Xenopus tropicalis: one gene and its partners. The protein of the gene in region 4 purifies or fractionates together with the protein of the main gene of each other region. This does not show direct contact. Links are inferred from orthologs where the notes say so. Each region holds a gene or a part of one and is shown on either strand. Other genes may lie near its edges.

Region 1 (3,564 bases), on a different chromosome or scaffold from region 4:
CCTTGGCACAGCAGAAACAAGAACAGAAGAATCAGGTATATACCACCCTGACCCACTTATATAGTTTTAGACTGGTTGCTTTAACTTGCATGCTTTAACAGATTTGGTAATAAAGATTACAAACGTAAGGTAAGTATTTGAACATATGGACAGAAACTTTTGTGTACATATTGTGTACAGACCATACTGTATACAAACCATAATTTTACATTTTAGATTTTTAACAGGATAAAAATAATAATAATGTAGCCTAATAATAAGCTTCCCTAAGTTTCTAATTACCACATAAATTTCAGTGCAGTTCTCATGGGATACATCATGAGATAATTTTTTTAATGTTTTTCTATAATTGTGAATGCTATTCTGCTTTCCATACATTTGGCTTTGTTTTGAAGCTGTTTCATGCAGAACAGAGGCTGCAAAGAGCACAACTTCAGCTGAAGAATATGCGCAATGCTGCTGCAGATGCAAAACCTGAAGGTTGGTAAAAGCACATTTTTTTTTTTAAACTAATGTGTATACATTTGGTCAGTATCCACTGTTCTACTTCCTGCTGCCTGCCCAGGCTGTGCAGGGAAGCTCGTGGCATTCAGCACAATGCACTGTAGGATAGGAACCAATCAGCTTACCTAATAGCAAACCAAAGCCTTTCTTTGCTTGTGTGAATGCAGGGCTGTGATTTGCTATCACCTTACTACTGTGTTTCTGACAGGGAACGTTAGAACAAGCCCCCCCCCCCTCACTGTAAACACAGAGACCATATCAAATCCATAGGGCGCACCAATAAATGGGCCATTTTAATAATGGCCCATTATTAATAATTATTAATATAAAATAATAATTATTTTTAGCCCAGAGTAAAATATGCACCATTTATTTTTAATTATTGCCTACATGATTCAGGGGAGGTTCACTTATGCTATATGTCTCCTTTATAAATGTTGCCTTCTTAATTGTTTTTATAGATTGTTTGATAAAAATAATATTTGGGTTTTATATTCTGTCAAGGTCTTATGAAAAGACTGGAAGAGGAAATGAAATTTCATTCATATATGGTTTCTGAAAAGCTTCCGAAAGAACTAGAGAGCAAACGGCAGACTTTGCATTTCCAGCAGAAAGTTGTCTCAGAGCCAGCAATGAGTCAAGCTGATCTAACTGAGCTTGAAGAAAAGGTATATGTAATTTTCCTGTTATGTACTGAGAGGTAGTAGTTTGTTTTAGGAGACACCTTGGACAAGCAGATATTTCTTTATTAGGTTGTTCCAGATGTAAAGAGGGGATGTACAAATATATACAACGATACATAGATTCTTGACTGGTTTGTCTGCCTATTGGCAATGAAAAGTGGAGCCATAACTGCATTGTACATTTAGTTGTGCAAATAAATTTCTCTCCCTCACCCCCTTACGCTTACTCTTCTTCTTATCTGTTTTCTTACTTCTCTTGCAATTTACCTTTTATTTTAATCATGTTATCCCTGGAAATTCCCTTTCCACCTTTCAAATGACTTTTCTTCTCACCTTCTTGTTTTTTGTCTCACACATTTGTCTTTTCTTCTCACATCTTGTTTTTCTTTATCTTCTCTGCCCTTCTGTATTCCCTATCTGATCATTTCTCCTTTTTTTTCTCCAGACCTTTTCTGTTTCTCTAACTATTTTTGTCCCCATAGTAAGCACTGATTTACTTTTTAAAATTTTCCTTTTCTACACCTCTCAATCTTACCCCTTCCCTATGTGGTTTAAAAGTACAATAACACCAAACAATTAAAGTCTTTTAAAGCATACAGTTGTCCTGCACTGGTAAAGCTGGTGTGTTTTCTTCAGAAGTGCTACTGTAATTGATATCAGTATACGCATATACGCTCAGTAGAATTCAATGAATTCAAATTCCTGTGTAGAAATAAACCCATTGTATTCTACAGAACTTATCTGCTGTTTTGCCATTTAGCCCTATTTCAACTTGAATGGCTCCCTTTGGGGCTACACAGCAGTTTTTTATATAAACTAGTGCTTCTGAAGCAAACACACAATTTTTACAAGTACAGGGCAACAAAACATACTACAGGTTTGGGATCCGTTATTCAGAAAGTTACAAATTACGGAAAGGTCATCTACCATAGACTCCATTATAAGCAAATAATCCTAATTTTTAAAATTGATTTCCCTTTTCTCTGTAATAATAAAACAGTACCTTGTACTTGATCCCAGTTAAAATATAATTAATCCCTACTGGGGACAAAACAAGCCTATTGGGTTTATTCAATATTTAAATGATTTTTAGCAGACTTAAGTTGTGAAGATCCAAATAACGGAAAGATCCCTTATCCGGAAAACCCCAGGTCCCGAGCATTCTGTATAACAGGTCCCATACCTGTATTTGAATTACTTGGTTTTGAATGTAACTACAGTTCTAATTAAAATGTCTTGGTAACACATTTTACCCTTTAAGTGCAATATTCCTGCTTTTTTCCTGTGGCAGAAACCTACACTGTACTAGAGCTGTTTTTTCCTAGCAGTGTGCTGGGTGTTCCCCCTGGACAATGTTCTGACTATATTTAAAGTGCAATAACATATTATACATACAAATATATTGTTTCCCTGTAAAGCAATAATTTTTCCTAGGTAGTAGGCCTTGCATTTTTAAATACAAAATATCTGAAAGTCTAGCTTGTACTGAAAAGAACTTTCTGAGCATGTACCGAATGATAAAAAGAAATATTGTATGATTTCTTTTCATTTTTAAGATCCATGAAGTAAATTTGCAGATTAATCAGCTGATTGAAAATCGAATGAGAAATGATCCAATGGATGACAAACTGTCTCTTTTTCGGCAACAGGTAATGAAAAGATTTTTATTAAAGGAACAGTAACACCAAAAAATGAAAGAGCTTTAAAGTAATAAAAATATAATGCACTGTTGCCCTGCACTGGTAAAACTGGTGTGTTTGCTACAGTAACACTACTATAATTTATATAATAAGCTGCTGTGTAGCCACGGGGGCAGCCATTCAAGCTGGAAAAAAGGAGAAAAGGCACAGGTTACATAGCAGATAACAGATAAGCTCTGTAGAATACAATAGTGTTTTATCTGTTATCTGCTATGTGCCTGTGCCTTTTCTTCTTTGAATGGCTGCCTCCATGGCTACATAGCAGCTTATTTATATAAATTATAGTAGACGTTCTGAAGTAAACACACAACTTTTACCAGTGCAGGGCAGCAGCACATTATATTTTAGTTACTTTTATACACTTTCATTTTTTGGTGTTACTGTTCCTTTAACATTTACCAACTTGTGAAGCATTTATTTTATTTACTGTATTGAATACAAGGTAATACACCTCTAGGCTCAGCAAACTAAATGAACAGACTGTCATTTTAAAAGGTTTATGCAGGGCTGGATTTCAATTGAGGGTGTCTAAACTGGGATTCAGAATAGGCTGTGGCATTTCCAGTACACAGAGGCCCAAACAGCCCACCAATAGCCCAATAAATAGTAACTGTCTATGGCATCTTACAGCAGCCCCAGTGGCATTTGCCTGGATCCACAGATTGCCAGTACAGGCC
Region 2 (4,240 bases), on a different chromosome or scaffold from region 4:
GTCTAAAAGATGCGCAAGTTAGGGACAGGTAGGGGTAAGAAACATAGGCGCCTCCAATATAGCACCAACAAGCTCACCTCACCAATACAGCACTCCAAAACAGAACACAGTGACCTGCTGCAATTCGCAAAGACCAAAAGGCTGTGTGCAAGACACACCCATCCGGGCCTTTTTTTTTTGCACTTTGCAGATGGTTGTTTGTTATCTAAAATGATCCCTAATTCATTATCATTTTCTCCAAGAATTGTTCAGAAGAAAATATTTGACTAGAAATAGGAAACTTCTGAAACTACAGATGAAGCCAGCTGAAGATCTGTGACTGCTGGTGGGCAAAAGGCTTCTTTTGCCAGCATTACACTATGCTTAAGTACGTTTATTATCAATCATTTTCAGGAAAACACTGCATTTACAAATGTAAACATATAAAATGCCACATATCTAAAAAAGTTTGTTTTGTCAAAAAAAAGTCTTAACATGTAGTACCCCACTCTTTTAAGGGTATCATGAATCCTACTGCTTATCTTCCAAGTGTCTTCTATAGTTCATTAAAGTTGCATATGTTACACAATACAGAATGTTTATCAAATTTAAATATGGTGCATGTTTAATTGCTTACCTCTTTCTAGACGGAGCTCAAAGTTTACAGGTTCTTTGGATGTGCTTGATTCAATTCTTACAGATCGTACTGAAAACCATAAAGGCCAAAGGAATAATAAAATAAAATTATGAAATGTGAGTCATAAATGCATTTAGTTAACTGCAGAGAGCAAAAACACCAGTAAGTATAAAGATAAATGAAGAGTTCAACCATGTGGGAAAAAGAGTTACAGAGGAGGTTTACCTTTAAAACAATTTTAGTATGTTGTCGATAGACCTATTTTAAGCAACTTTTCAAACGGTCTACTTTCTTATTTATTCTGGTTTTTAATTATTCGCTATCCTACTTCTTTCTGCCCTGCAACAAAAAAAATCTCTGTGTTTTATGGGGTCACTGATCCAGCAGCCATACTTTATATTTCACCATTTTTGCATTGTTATCCCACTACTTTCATCTTCCATCCTAACATCTAAACTGATGCCTGATTTCCTAGACAGGTAAGCCTTAGCAACCAGTTAAAATTCAAAGCCTGAGAGTGGCACAATGAAAAATATAAATTTATGGGCTTCTAGGGAACAACCTATACTTTTATTGCATTATAATATTATGACATGAAGTAAAGTTGAAATACATGGTACGATCAGTTACACAATAATATTCAAAGTTAACTGCCAAAGATGAAGAAGCAAAAACTAAATTTATGATTTCTCCATTTTACCTAATGAGCTCTGGAGGATGATCTTGTTAATTTTCTGAATGCCATTCAAACTGATTATGAATTCTTGAGGATACATACCAGTCGTTGTCCAGAATGTGTCTGGGTTTCTAAACAAAACATAACATAATTATGTAACTGTATGAGAGAAAAACAAAGTCTGAACAGTATTATCTGGTTGAGCCCAACATACCAATGCAACCAGGTACATACTAGGATCTGAAGTAGGCCCTGATAGACTCCTGCGCAATTTTTGAAACCCAACCCAGACCTCTGCCCTGCATTTTTACGTGCTTTGGCCCTTTACCTGATCTGCAACTGCCTTACCCACAACCTGACCACTAATAAACAGGAAGTGACATCGTGAGAAGTAGGTGGGGAAAAAATAACACATTTATAGAAACCACTTGTGCATCAATGTTTTGAGTGACGCAAGCTCCTTCAAATATTTTACAATTACAGTGCTGACAGGGCCGGTCAAAGTAACTAATCAGTGGCTTGAGGGGGGTGGCATATGGGACATAACTGTTCAGTTTGCTACTGAATCTGACCTGCGTGCTCACAAACTAACTGAACAGTTATGTCCCATGTCCCTAGCCCCCTAGCCCCCCCCCCCCCCCCGTAAAGTCACTGACTAACTAAAGGCTGCCATACACGGGCCAATTCTAGCTGCCGATATCGGTCCTTTAAGACCAATTCGCCAGCTTATCGGCCCATGTATGGGCACTAAAGACGGGTCTGCCCGACCAACATCTGGCCTGAAATGGGGCAGATATTGATCGGGCAGGTTTAAAAATCAGTTGGATCCTGCAGATGCCTATGTTGGCCAAACGACCGAATTAGCCAGATATCGCCCACCCATAGTTGGGGATATCAAGAGAACATCCACTTGCTTGGCAACCTCGCCAAGCGAGCAGATCTTAGTGTGTATGGCCACCATAAGAGGTTAGAGAGCTGAAAGCAAAAAGTAAAGTTCTGGCTATTATGTTAGACATCTGCCCACTCCAGCCTTTATAGATTACATTTTTGCCTAATTATATTGCAAAAATTTTGTATTTTGCGCAGGCCATCCATTTTACCCAGTTTCATTTTTACACTGAACTATTTCTTTAATGTCTAGGTCCTCTATTTATTTGTATGCTATTAGTTATTTATCAGTACTTGCCCAAGCTCAAGCACTATAACACACACTACAGCTTTTAGAAAAATTGCAAACAGGAACATTTTGCCACAGGTAGCCAACAAAAACTACTGGGAACATTACATTGTGAGAATAATATCCCCGCAGCAGCCGGCATGGCTGTACTACTAATGGAGAAAGCCTGAGCACATCAATACCCACCCGTCTATAATGTTGTCTGCCGGGTGTCTGTCATCGCTGCTGGTAGCCAGTGTGACCCGGGCTCCGGCACAACTCAGGCACAAGTCCCCTGCCCGTGTCATGCTCAGGCCGTGGCTTTGGCGTGGAACTAACAAGCAGCCCCTTCACATTCGCTCCACTTACTTTCCCCCCTGTTGTTACGCCGTTGCCTAGCAATTTGGAACGTCTTCCGGTGCCAGAGCTGTGTTCCCGAGTTAGCGTATATAGTGTGCGCGGCCGGGGGGGAAGGTTCCGTAGAGCAGACGTTCCGGGTGCAGTTTACTGGTCTCTGCAGAGAGGTGAGTCTCTGGTTTTATAGTTTATGTGTAAATATTGTCCGTTATGGTGTCACCATGAGCGTGTGGTGATCAAAACTCACACTCGGAAGTTTTTTTTTTTATTCTTTATGCTTGTGGATTTGAGATGGGAAGCTCCTTCATTTCCTAGGAGAATTAGCATTTGATTTAGACTGTAAACCGATTGGAATAGGAAGTTACTGTACAGCGCTGCCTTGAATTACAGAACCATTAACATTCATTTTGAATCAAGGGTTTGTGTGCGGTCATGCACGACACCCAACTTACAGCATGTGTATTCAGTAAATATCATCTTTGATGGTAATCTTACACAAAAAAGAACTTTAATATAATGCACCGTTACCTTGTAATTATCACTGTTTTATATTGACATTCTTATGAACTAGCCTAGTTTTAGCCAGTGCAGGACTGTAGGGTCCAAAGAAGTTGTTAGAAAACAACAGTGTTAGGCTATAGCTCTGCTTTTTCCTTTTTGAATTATAATCACCTTTGCATTCTTAATTTACTTTGTTTATAAAGGCACCCATTGCTAATATGTGTTCCCTTGCTCTATCTGCACATATGGACTCTACATTTTCTTTTACATTGGCAATATATATCTTATTAAAGATGGTCATATATATTATTATATATATTGTTTTCCATAGCCCCTTTTTCATTGTGATTTATTTCATCTAGATGTATGGGGTGAGATTTACAGCTCAGTGTTTCAATTTAGTCTTATTTTTATCTTGTTTCAGGACAAGCTAGATTTTGTAAGCATATAAATATATAAAGAGTCTGCATGAGTCACAATTTTAATTGGAAATAAATAGCTTTGACCTAAATACTTTCTAGTGAAAACCTCTGTCATTCAGACAAGATGCAGTGTCCTTAATAAACAGCAGTGAAACAAAACTACTTAGTTTTTGCGGATGAAAGGTAAGGTGAGATCACTTCTAATAAACTGAAGGGGCATTACCCTATTACACCAATAAACAATTGCTAAGTTAGAATGGAATATTACATTTGCTTAAAACTTTTTTTCTTTTCCTGTAAGAAGATGTTTCAGTGCCTTGAGCCAGAGAGGAACGAGGAGACAGGACCGGTTTATGTGCGAGAGAGAGGAAAGCTGTCAGTTGTTGGGTCACATGTCTCTGAGCTCAGGACTCGCCCATGCCGCCTTTTCTCTAAAGGATTCTCAGTGGAACTATGTGGGAAGCAAGAAGATACCTCAAGACACAGGCAGAAACCTTTTATTTTTACATATA
Region 3 (4,064 bases), about 55 Mb from region 4:
ATTAGCGCACGCTATTGCGCACGTAACCGTTACTTTCTGAAAACTACTGTTCTGAAAATTACCATTTCCCTGAAAACTGGAGGATGCATGACAAGTCCATTTTGTCACCACAGACAATCACCAGCTGCAATTTTGTTTAGTAACGCCTACTCGTGGGTGGCGTTAAGTTTCACAGTAATTATCGCCACATTTTATGCTTTTAATGCTTCAAATATGTTTGTGAATTACACGTTAGTATTATTTCTATTCAATAATTACCTCAATGCGATGGAAATAACGCTTTGCCATAATCAGGCTTTTTGCACATGCGATATGAGTAGTAACGAATGAAAAAAGACTTTGATGATTCGGTACTTAATTATCGAACACTTTTTAATGCACAAAACTATGCGTTACGTGTTAACCACCTTTAGTGAATCCGACCCAATATGTTATCAAACTGACTCCCTCATTTCTGAAAAATGACCATTACCTGCTCATGTATAGGGTCATGTTCTGACCCACAGTAGTTAGCAGTTGAAATTCCACATGATGTGGCCTGGGTCAAACAGTCAGAAAGGTGCAATCTGGGCATTCCCATGCATGGTCACATTTTGCAATGCCAGCAATCTTGCAGTGGGCAGAACCAGTGGATTCTTATGGAACAGAGAGCTACAAGATATTTAAACCTAGCTTAAACTAAAACTAGGATTGTTTCATATTTCTATCCCTATTATTTTTTACCAATTCTAACTGACTGTGCCTTTAGGGATACAAATTGCATTAAAATACAAAAGCCGTGCAGATACTCACAGCAATTTCATCTTCAATTTTGTTTAAAGTCAACTCAGCATCGTCCTCAATTACATTTTCTTCGTCTTGCTCTTCTGTTGGGTATGTAGGCCTATAATGATACAGAACATGGCAACGGACAGATTAGATACAATAAACATACTTATAAAAATCTTACACTGAGAACCCTACAAATATACTACTTTCTGCTTTCCCCTGCATCATTTACTTTATTTATCATCACTAACACCCCCTCTTAACAGGCACCAGCATATAATAATCTTTCTAATGTTAACTTACTTTATTTACTATTCTTTAAAATAATTTCTGAAACAAAATCAGGTAGTAGGCTATTACTGTGAATAAACAAACTATAACTATTATAATTATATTGTCATTTTAATGCTCTGGCACTCAGACCATGCAACATTTATCATCAGTTTACAAAGCACATATGAATTAGGGCCCCTACTTGTTAACATTTTGCGGAGTCATGGAGTGCTTCCACCAAAAAGCATGTGTAATATTATATTCTCTTTTCTCTGTGGATTATATAAAAACCTATTTAAATGCCCCTGCATCTGAAATCTTCCTGGGGTATGGTTATTTAACCAATGAAAGGTAAGATTTTTAAAAACCTATAATTAGGATGTAGCAGTGACATTCTAGAAACTTTTTCAGTTGTTCATGGGCTTCTTAAGTGGGGAGAGAAAGAAAGTATGTGCTCCAGAAACAGTGTCAAGAGCTCATGATGACAATATTAGTTTTTTAAACTCATGCAGGGTTTCGGGGAAAAAAAAAAAACTTTCATTGAGGTATTTTTCTACCAGCGGGCTTTCTTAAATAAGAAAAAGTTTGGCAGCTTTTAGGTGAAAAATACCTCAACTAATGAGGCCTTTTTGCCCCCGAAAGCCCTGTGAGTTCCTAAACTTACGCAGGGTTTCCTTTAAAGATTCCTCAAGCTGAATGGCTCAAACAATAATAAATCTGCCCCAGCCATTCTTGGCATAGCGGATTTTAAGAATGCAATTGGCTAGGTAATATACAGTGGCCAAATGTCATTCACCAAGATAACCTCTCTTATAGAACATAACATAGCTGTTAAAAATAAACATGCACATATAAATACAACAGTAGTTGCTGCTGAGCCAACATGCAAGGCCACTATCAGAGACAAAAGGAATGCCTGGAGAGTGTACAGTAGCTGTACAGGTTACACACACATACTGAATCTATAAAGGTCCAATCTAATGTACAATCTACAAACAATACTATCCAATAGAAAACATAACCAACCTCTTCCAGCTGAAGTGAATATGTTTTAAGACTTCCTCTGCAAAACAATCAAGCACATAGCACACTTGTTCTCCATACCCTGCCTTTAGCCTAGAAGGTGGAAAATCTACAGAATATCCCTGCAAAAAAAGCCAAAAAAAAATTATCAGATTAAAGACTCCAAAAAAAGCACAAAAGATGAAAATTAAAACTGAAAACTTACAAATGATCTTAACTCTGATAGAATATTGGAGATGGTGGCATTTGGGTCATCATACTCTTGTGGCTGATCAAAATGATGTCCAGCTTTACTTATAAGCCAAGCAGCAAGTGTGCAAAACATATAGAACTGCTCCCCAGGGTTTGTAGGTAAAGCAAAGTAGTGCCTGTTAATATAAAACAAACAGATTTTAGACTGTTGAATTAAGTTTGTAGAGCTGCAGTGGTCTTCTTCAGCAAACCTTTCTGGATAATGGGATTACGGATAATGGATCCTATACCTGTATATCAATATTTCTTTCTTACCTGGAAAGTGGTTTCATGTTTTGCTTTCTTAGAACCTCATCTTCATAACTGAGTAGCTTTAACTTGTCCAATAAATCCTCCATCATTAGAAAAGCTTGATATGCAGCACCAGGACCGCGATCATCATCCTCCACTCTTCTACTGTCCTCTGACATTGTTAAAGGTTTGCCAGCGGGGTGTTTGATTTCAAATTAAAGCGCACTTAAGAGAATTTAATATAGAAGAGATTATCTAAAATAAAAAGCATAAAATTAACATTAAATCAAACATTTTCTGTGCTGAGCTGTAACTCATGTTTTTCCCAGTTATTCCTTGTTTCATTATTTTGGAATATATTTAAATTTACACAGTTACATAGTTGAGTTGAAAATAAGACCAGAGTCCATCAAATTCTACCCATCCAATCGAACCCAGCACCCACAAACCTATACTGACCTATCTATACACTCACATACACAAACCATACATACCAACATCAATACTACTATGCTTGTGCAAGAACCCATCCAGGCCCCTTTTAAAGGCATTAACAGAATCTGCCATTACAACATCACTAGGAATGACATTCCACGACCTCCACCACCTACGCTGCTTCAAGTGGAAGCTCCGTTCCTCTAATCTAAAGGGGGAGGGGGGGCTCTGGTGCATTGATCTGTTATAATATTTACATCCCTGCCAGTGATCGGAACAATTAAAAGAAAGTTCGATTTATAATTCAGTGCCTGCTGGTCTTACTTTTTGTGGGTTTTGCTATATTTTGCTCTACAGTTCTCCAGTTTTATATTTAAACTGCTGGTTGCTATGATTATTTTCCTTTGCAATGAGGCATCTGTTTTTATGTCAAAATGAAGAATGAATATATGAGGGCCTATATGGAATTATAATTAATAAAAATAATTGTAATAATAAAAGCTATGTTCCTGCTTACCAACATCCACCTTTAGCAAGGGATACCCTGAAAATGTTTTATGCAAGTCTGCTTTGCATGTTGTGTATTATATTTGAGTATTTGTATATGCATTCCATATTAAAGGTGGTTGTTGGTAACTTACTTTAAAGAAAACTATACCCAAAGAATGAATACTTATCCAGACAGTTTATATTATGTCAAGTGACCTATTAAAGAATCTCACCAAACTGGAATATTATATATATATATATATATATATATATATATATATATATCAGTAAATATTGCCCTTTTACATCTTTCCCTTGATCCACCATTTTTGTAAAGGGCTGTGGGCTCCCTCAGAGATCACATGACCGGGAATAATGCAGCTCTAACTGTAACAGGAAGAAGTGTGGGAGTAAAAGGCAGAACTGTCCATTCATTGGCTGATGGGGCCTAGCAGTATGTGTGTCTTGGCTTGTTTGTGTGCACTGTGAATCCAATGATCCCAGGGGTGGCCTTTAATTCTTAAAATGGCAGTTTTCTATTTAGCATTACCCAATAGCACATACTACTAAAAAAGCTTACTTTTATGAAAAAG
Region 4 (4,354 bases):
AGTACAAGTGAGGGAATACAGGGGTATGGGAGATAGCTCTCAGTACAAGTGAGGGAATACAGGGTTATGGGAGATAGCTCTCAGTACAAGTGAGGGAATACAGGGGTATGGGAGATAGCTCTCAGTACAAGTGAGGGAATACAGGGGTAGGGGAGATAGCTCTCAGTACAAGTGAGGGAATACAGAGGTAGGGGAGATAGCTCTCAGTACAAGTGAGGGAATACAGGGGTAGGGGAGATAGCTCTCAGTACAAGTGAGGGAATACAGGGGTAGGGGAGATAGCTCTCAGTACAAGTGAGGGAATACAGGGGTATGGGAGATAGCTCTCAGTACAAGTGAGGGAATACAGGGTTATGGGAGATAGCTCTCAGTACAAGTGAGGGAATACAGGGGTATGGGAGATAGCTCTCAGTACAAGTGAGGGAATACAGGGGTAGGGGAGATAGCTCTCAGTACAAGTGAGGGAATACAGAGGTAGGGGAGATAGCTCTCAGTACAAGTGAGGGAATACAGGGGTATGGGAGATAGCTCTCAGTACAAGTGAGGGAATACAGGGGTAGGGGAGATAGCTCTCAGTACAAGTGAGGGAATACAGGGGTAGGGGGGATAGCTCTCAGTACAAGTGAGGGAATACAGGGGTAGGGGAGATAGCTCTCAGTACAAGTGAGGGAATACAGGGGTAGGGGAGATAGCTCTCAGTACAAGTGAGGGAATACAGGGGTAGGGGAGATAGCTCTCAGTACAAGTGAGGGAATACAGGGGTATGGGAGATAGCTCTTAGTACAAGTGAGGGAATACAGGGGTAGGGGAGATAGCTCTCAGTACAAGTGAGGGAATACAGGGGTAGGGGAGATAGCTCTCAGTACAAGTGAGGGAATACAGGGTTATGGGAGATAGCTCTCAGTACAAGTGAGGGAATACAGGGGTATGGGAGATAGCTCTCAGTACAAGTGAGGGAATACAGGGGTATGGGAGATAGCTCTTAGTACAAGTTGATCCAGGGACTGGTCCGATTGCCATCTTGGAGTCAGGAAGGAATTTTTTCCCCACTGCAGCAAATTAGAGAGGCTTCAGGTGGGGTTTTATTCTTTCCTCTGGATCAACTAGCAATTAGGCAGATTATATATAGGCATTGTGGTTAAACTTGAAGGACGTATGTCTTTTTTTCAACCTAACTTACTATGTTACTACATAGTAACAGTGCTGGTTGTACCGGCCTGGGGTAGAAAGTTGGGGATTAAAATCACAGCAGATATTTTTACCTTGGTTCAACTTTAATATCACCATTATGTATTTCAATAACAGTAAAAAATGACAACCACTCCCCAATTTATTCCAACTTTCACAATGTAGGAATGGCTTTCTTACAAGTGTTGCTATTATTACCGATTTAAAGCCACATATGAACATATATGCATAGCTCTCTGTAAATGATTAGTACAAGTTGCCCAGACAGGGACTGCTCAGATTGTTCCTCTAGGATCAGTAATAATTTTCTAAGGGAAAGCAGATATGGCACTGATGGGGATATTTCAGCTCTGGAACAACTAGACAATTGGTAGGTTTCTTTTGGGCAAAAGATTAAACTTTTGTCTGTTTTATATTATATTATCTCCAAATCTACTATGTATTTTGGCACATTTCAGTGAACATCTGGGCTGCACCTATGTTATTATTGTTATTACTGGGAGCTTACATTACAGAGGTACTAGTGCCTGGCATTCAGCTTAGTGAGGCCCAACTGTGTCCCTCCACATACAACTCCCAGCATCCCCTTCCCAGCATTCCCTTCCAGCATCCCCTTTCCAGCATCCCCTTCCCAGCATTCCCTTCCCAGCATTCCCTTCCAGCATTCCCTTCCCAGCATTCCCTTCCAGCATCCCCTTCCCAGCATCCCCTTCCAGCATCCCCTTCCCAGCATCCCCTTCCCAGCATTCCCTTCCCAGCATTCCCTTCCAGCATCCCCTTCCCAGCATTCCCTTCCAGCATCCCCTTCCCAGCATCCCCTTCCCAGCATCCCCTTCCAGCATTCCCTTCCCAGCATCCCCTTCCCAGCATTCCCTTCCAGCATTCCCTTCCCAGCATCCCCTTCCCAGCATTCCCTTCCCAGCATTCCCTTCCAGCATTCCCTTCCCAGCATCCCCTTCCCAGCATCCCCTTCCCAGCATCCCCTTCCCAGCATCCCCTTCCCAGCATCCCCTTCCCAGCATTCCCTTCCCAGCATTCCCTTCCCAGCATCCCCTTCCCAGCATCCCCTTCCCAGCATCCCCTTCCCAGCATTCCCTTCCCAGCATTCCCTTCCCAGCATCCCCTCCCAGCATTCCCTTCCCAGCATCCCCTTCCCAGCATCCCCTCCCAGCATTCCCTTCCCAACATCCCCTTCCCAACATCCCCTTCCCAGCATTCCCTTCCCAGCATTCCCTTCCCAGCATTCCCTTCCCAGCATCCCCTCCCAGCATTCCCTTCCCAGCATCCCCTTCCCAGCATCCCCTTCCCAGCATCCCCTCCCAGCCTGCTAACAGAGACTGGAGCTCTCCTCTACAACAAACTCACCAATTATCTGCATTCCCCTCACACGGCCGATCCTTACTTTTTGTAAAGCGATATCGAACCAGACAATTTATTATTATTATTATTATTATATTAGAAGACCCGTGCTTATATCAAACTGCAGGCAGTAGTAAGCTCCTTACCCGTTTACTTATATGGTTCTTCACGGCGCTTACACTATGAGCACTTTCAGTCTGTTGACGCCTTATGCAGCTCCATGGAGAAAATTCCCATCATGCCCCTCAGTATCTAATACAAGCCAGCGATTGGCTCGGAATTCGTGACGGGTTCTGCGGGAAGCGTCTCGTCGTTGCTAGGCAACCGTTTAGCCGCCGGGGGCGCGCACGTACGGGTACCGACTAAAGTCTGCGCGTCACCGTGAAGTTGTAGGGAAAAGTGCAGGGGTTACCTCAGAAAGTGCGCAACAATGATTTTTAATTCATATTGAAATTCTTTTAGAAAGTAATTTAAGGCCCCATTTGTACTTTTATCAGACCTTATTAAACCTATCATATTAAATCACTGACCTGTAAGGGGGCTTTATTGAGGACGGAGGAAGAAGGTTATGGTCCAGTGGTAAAATCTGGACCTAGACAGTGATAGCGTAAGTGGTGACTTGTGTCTAGGGTTGATATATGGGCAGTATTTTACTGGTCTGACTGGTGCAAATTATGTTTGATGCCAATGTTATTAATAGAGAGGGAAGATAATAAAGGAAGACTCCTAAATTTCATTCTAACAGACCTTCAAGATGGGCTTCTAGGTGTACCTAAGATAACGCACCACCCAGCCAGTGTTCCATGCCTTCCATCCAGAGGTGGGGAGGCAGGTCAGGAAATAGGGGTAGGCAAAAGAGGCATGGGCCTGGGGGGGGGGGGACTAAAGAGTCCATCAAGTTCAACCCTTGATAGTATAGAGAGTATAGAGTCCATCAAGTTCAACCCTTCCAAGTAAACCCAGCTCCCACAACCTATACTTACCAATCTATAATATCCATAAACTATACAGTATATACAACCACTAGTACTAACTGTAGATATTAGTATAACAATAGCCTTGGATACTATGCTTGTTCAAGAACTCATCCAGGCCCCTCTTATAGACATTAACAGAATCTGCCATTACCACATCACTAGGAAGGGCATTCCCCAACCTCACTGCCCTCACCATGAAAAACCACCTACGCTGCTTCAAATGGAAACTCCGTTCTTCTAATCTAAAGGGGGGGCCTCTGGTTGCCACCTGGCTGGTATTTTACCGGCCTGGCTAGTAAAAATTATGTTTAATGGCAATGTTATTAATAATGAAAAATTATTCAAAAATATAGGAAGGTCAGTATTTTTTTCCAAAACAGGTGGGAACACTAGTTATAGGCGAATGTTTACTTTTTGTATGTTTGTGTTGCTTTATAGCAGTATAACTGGACAAGGTTACAGAACCTGGAATGGCCAGAGCAATACTAAGTAAAGGAATTTATTTTTTTAACTTTGTCGTTTTTTTTTCCATAATACATAACAGTGTTAGTGTAACACCTCTGTTGTATCCTAGCCAGTTCTTTTCACTTCACTGCTTTGTTAATCTGTCAAAATGAGTTCATTGCAGGTCAGTGGACATTTTCCCTGTGTTTTTTCTGGTTTGTTTATAAACCTATGTGAATAGTCACACCTACTTTAGCAATACAGCCCACACTTAGATTAATATTTTCCTGTCCTTATAAACTTTAAAGTGATTCTTAAAAAAAAAACTAGTGTTCCTAAACTGATGTGGCCTTCTTTGTTGCATATTTGGTTGTCTGCAACTCAAC

The links.
Region 1: the proteins of ift88 (region 4) and ift81 fractionate together in Homo sapiens (co-fractionation; 3 studies listed by BioGRID and IntAct, with this or other methods). This does not show direct contact. The link is inferred for Xenopus tropicalis from reciprocal best matches to the Homo sapiens genes IFT88 and IFT81.
Region 2: the proteins of ift88 (region 4) and hspb11 purify together in Homo sapiens (affinity purification with mass spectrometry; 3 studies listed by BioGRID and IntAct, with this or other methods). This does not show direct contact. The link is inferred for Xenopus tropicalis from reciprocal best matches to the Homo sapiens genes IFT88 and IFT25.
Region 3: the proteins of ift88 (region 4) and ift57 purify together in Homo sapiens (affinity purification with mass spectrometry; 3 studies listed by BioGRID and IntAct, counting the BioPlex papers as one, with this or other methods). This does not show direct contact. The link is inferred for Xenopus tropicalis from reciprocal best matches to the Homo sapiens genes IFT88 and IFT57.

What each region holds. Positions count from the first base shown.
Region 1 is NC_030677.2:162,587,979-162,591,542, forward strand, and holds part of ift81 (intraflagellar transport protein 81 homolog), read left to right. Parts: coding exon 1-35; intron 36-395; coding exon 396-480; intron 481-1,008; coding exon 1,009-1,172; intron 1,173-2,743; coding exon 2,744-2,836; intron 2,837-3,564. UniProt on the Homo sapiens protein: Component of the intraflagellar transport (IFT) complex B: together with IFT74, forms a tubulin-binding module that specifically mediates transport of tubulin within the cilium. Binds tubulin via its CH (calponin-homology)-like region.
Region 2 is NC_030680.2:97,386,768-97,391,007, forward strand, and holds the start of hspb11 (intraflagellar transport protein 25 homolog), read right to left. Parts: upstream 2,858-4,240; 5' UTR 2,757-2,857; coding exon 2,656-2,756; intron 1,424-2,655; coding exon 1,317-1,423; intron 686-1,316; coding exon 617-685; intron 1-616. Other genes in the region: lrrc42 (leucine-rich repeat-containing protein 42), read left to right, coding at 4,033-4,240. UniProt on the Homo sapiens protein: Component of the IFT complex B required for sonic hedgehog/SHH signaling.
Region 3 is NC_030678.2:103,607,924-103,611,987, forward strand, and holds the start of ift57 (intraflagellar transport protein 57 homolog), read right to left. Parts: upstream 2,805-4,064; 5' UTR 2,727-2,804; coding exon of another isoform or gene 2,655-2,726; coding exon 2,572-2,654; intron 2,433-2,571; coding exon 2,270-2,432; intron 2,187-2,269; coding exon 2,068-2,186; intron 884-2,067; coding exon 793-883; intron 1-792. UniProt on the Homo sapiens protein: Required for the formation of cilia. Plays an indirect role in sonic hedgehog signaling, cilia being required for all activity of the hedgehog pathway.
Region 4 is NC_030678.2:158,960,546-158,964,899, reverse strand, and holds the start of ift88 (intraflagellar transport protein 88 homolog), read right to left. Parts: upstream 2,859-4,354; 5' UTR 2,694-2,858; intron 2,653-2,693; exon of another isoform or gene 2,554-2,652; intron 1-2,553. UniProt on the Homo sapiens protein: Positively regulates primary cilium biogenesis. Also involved in autophagy since it is required for trafficking of ATG16L and the expansion of the autophagic compartment.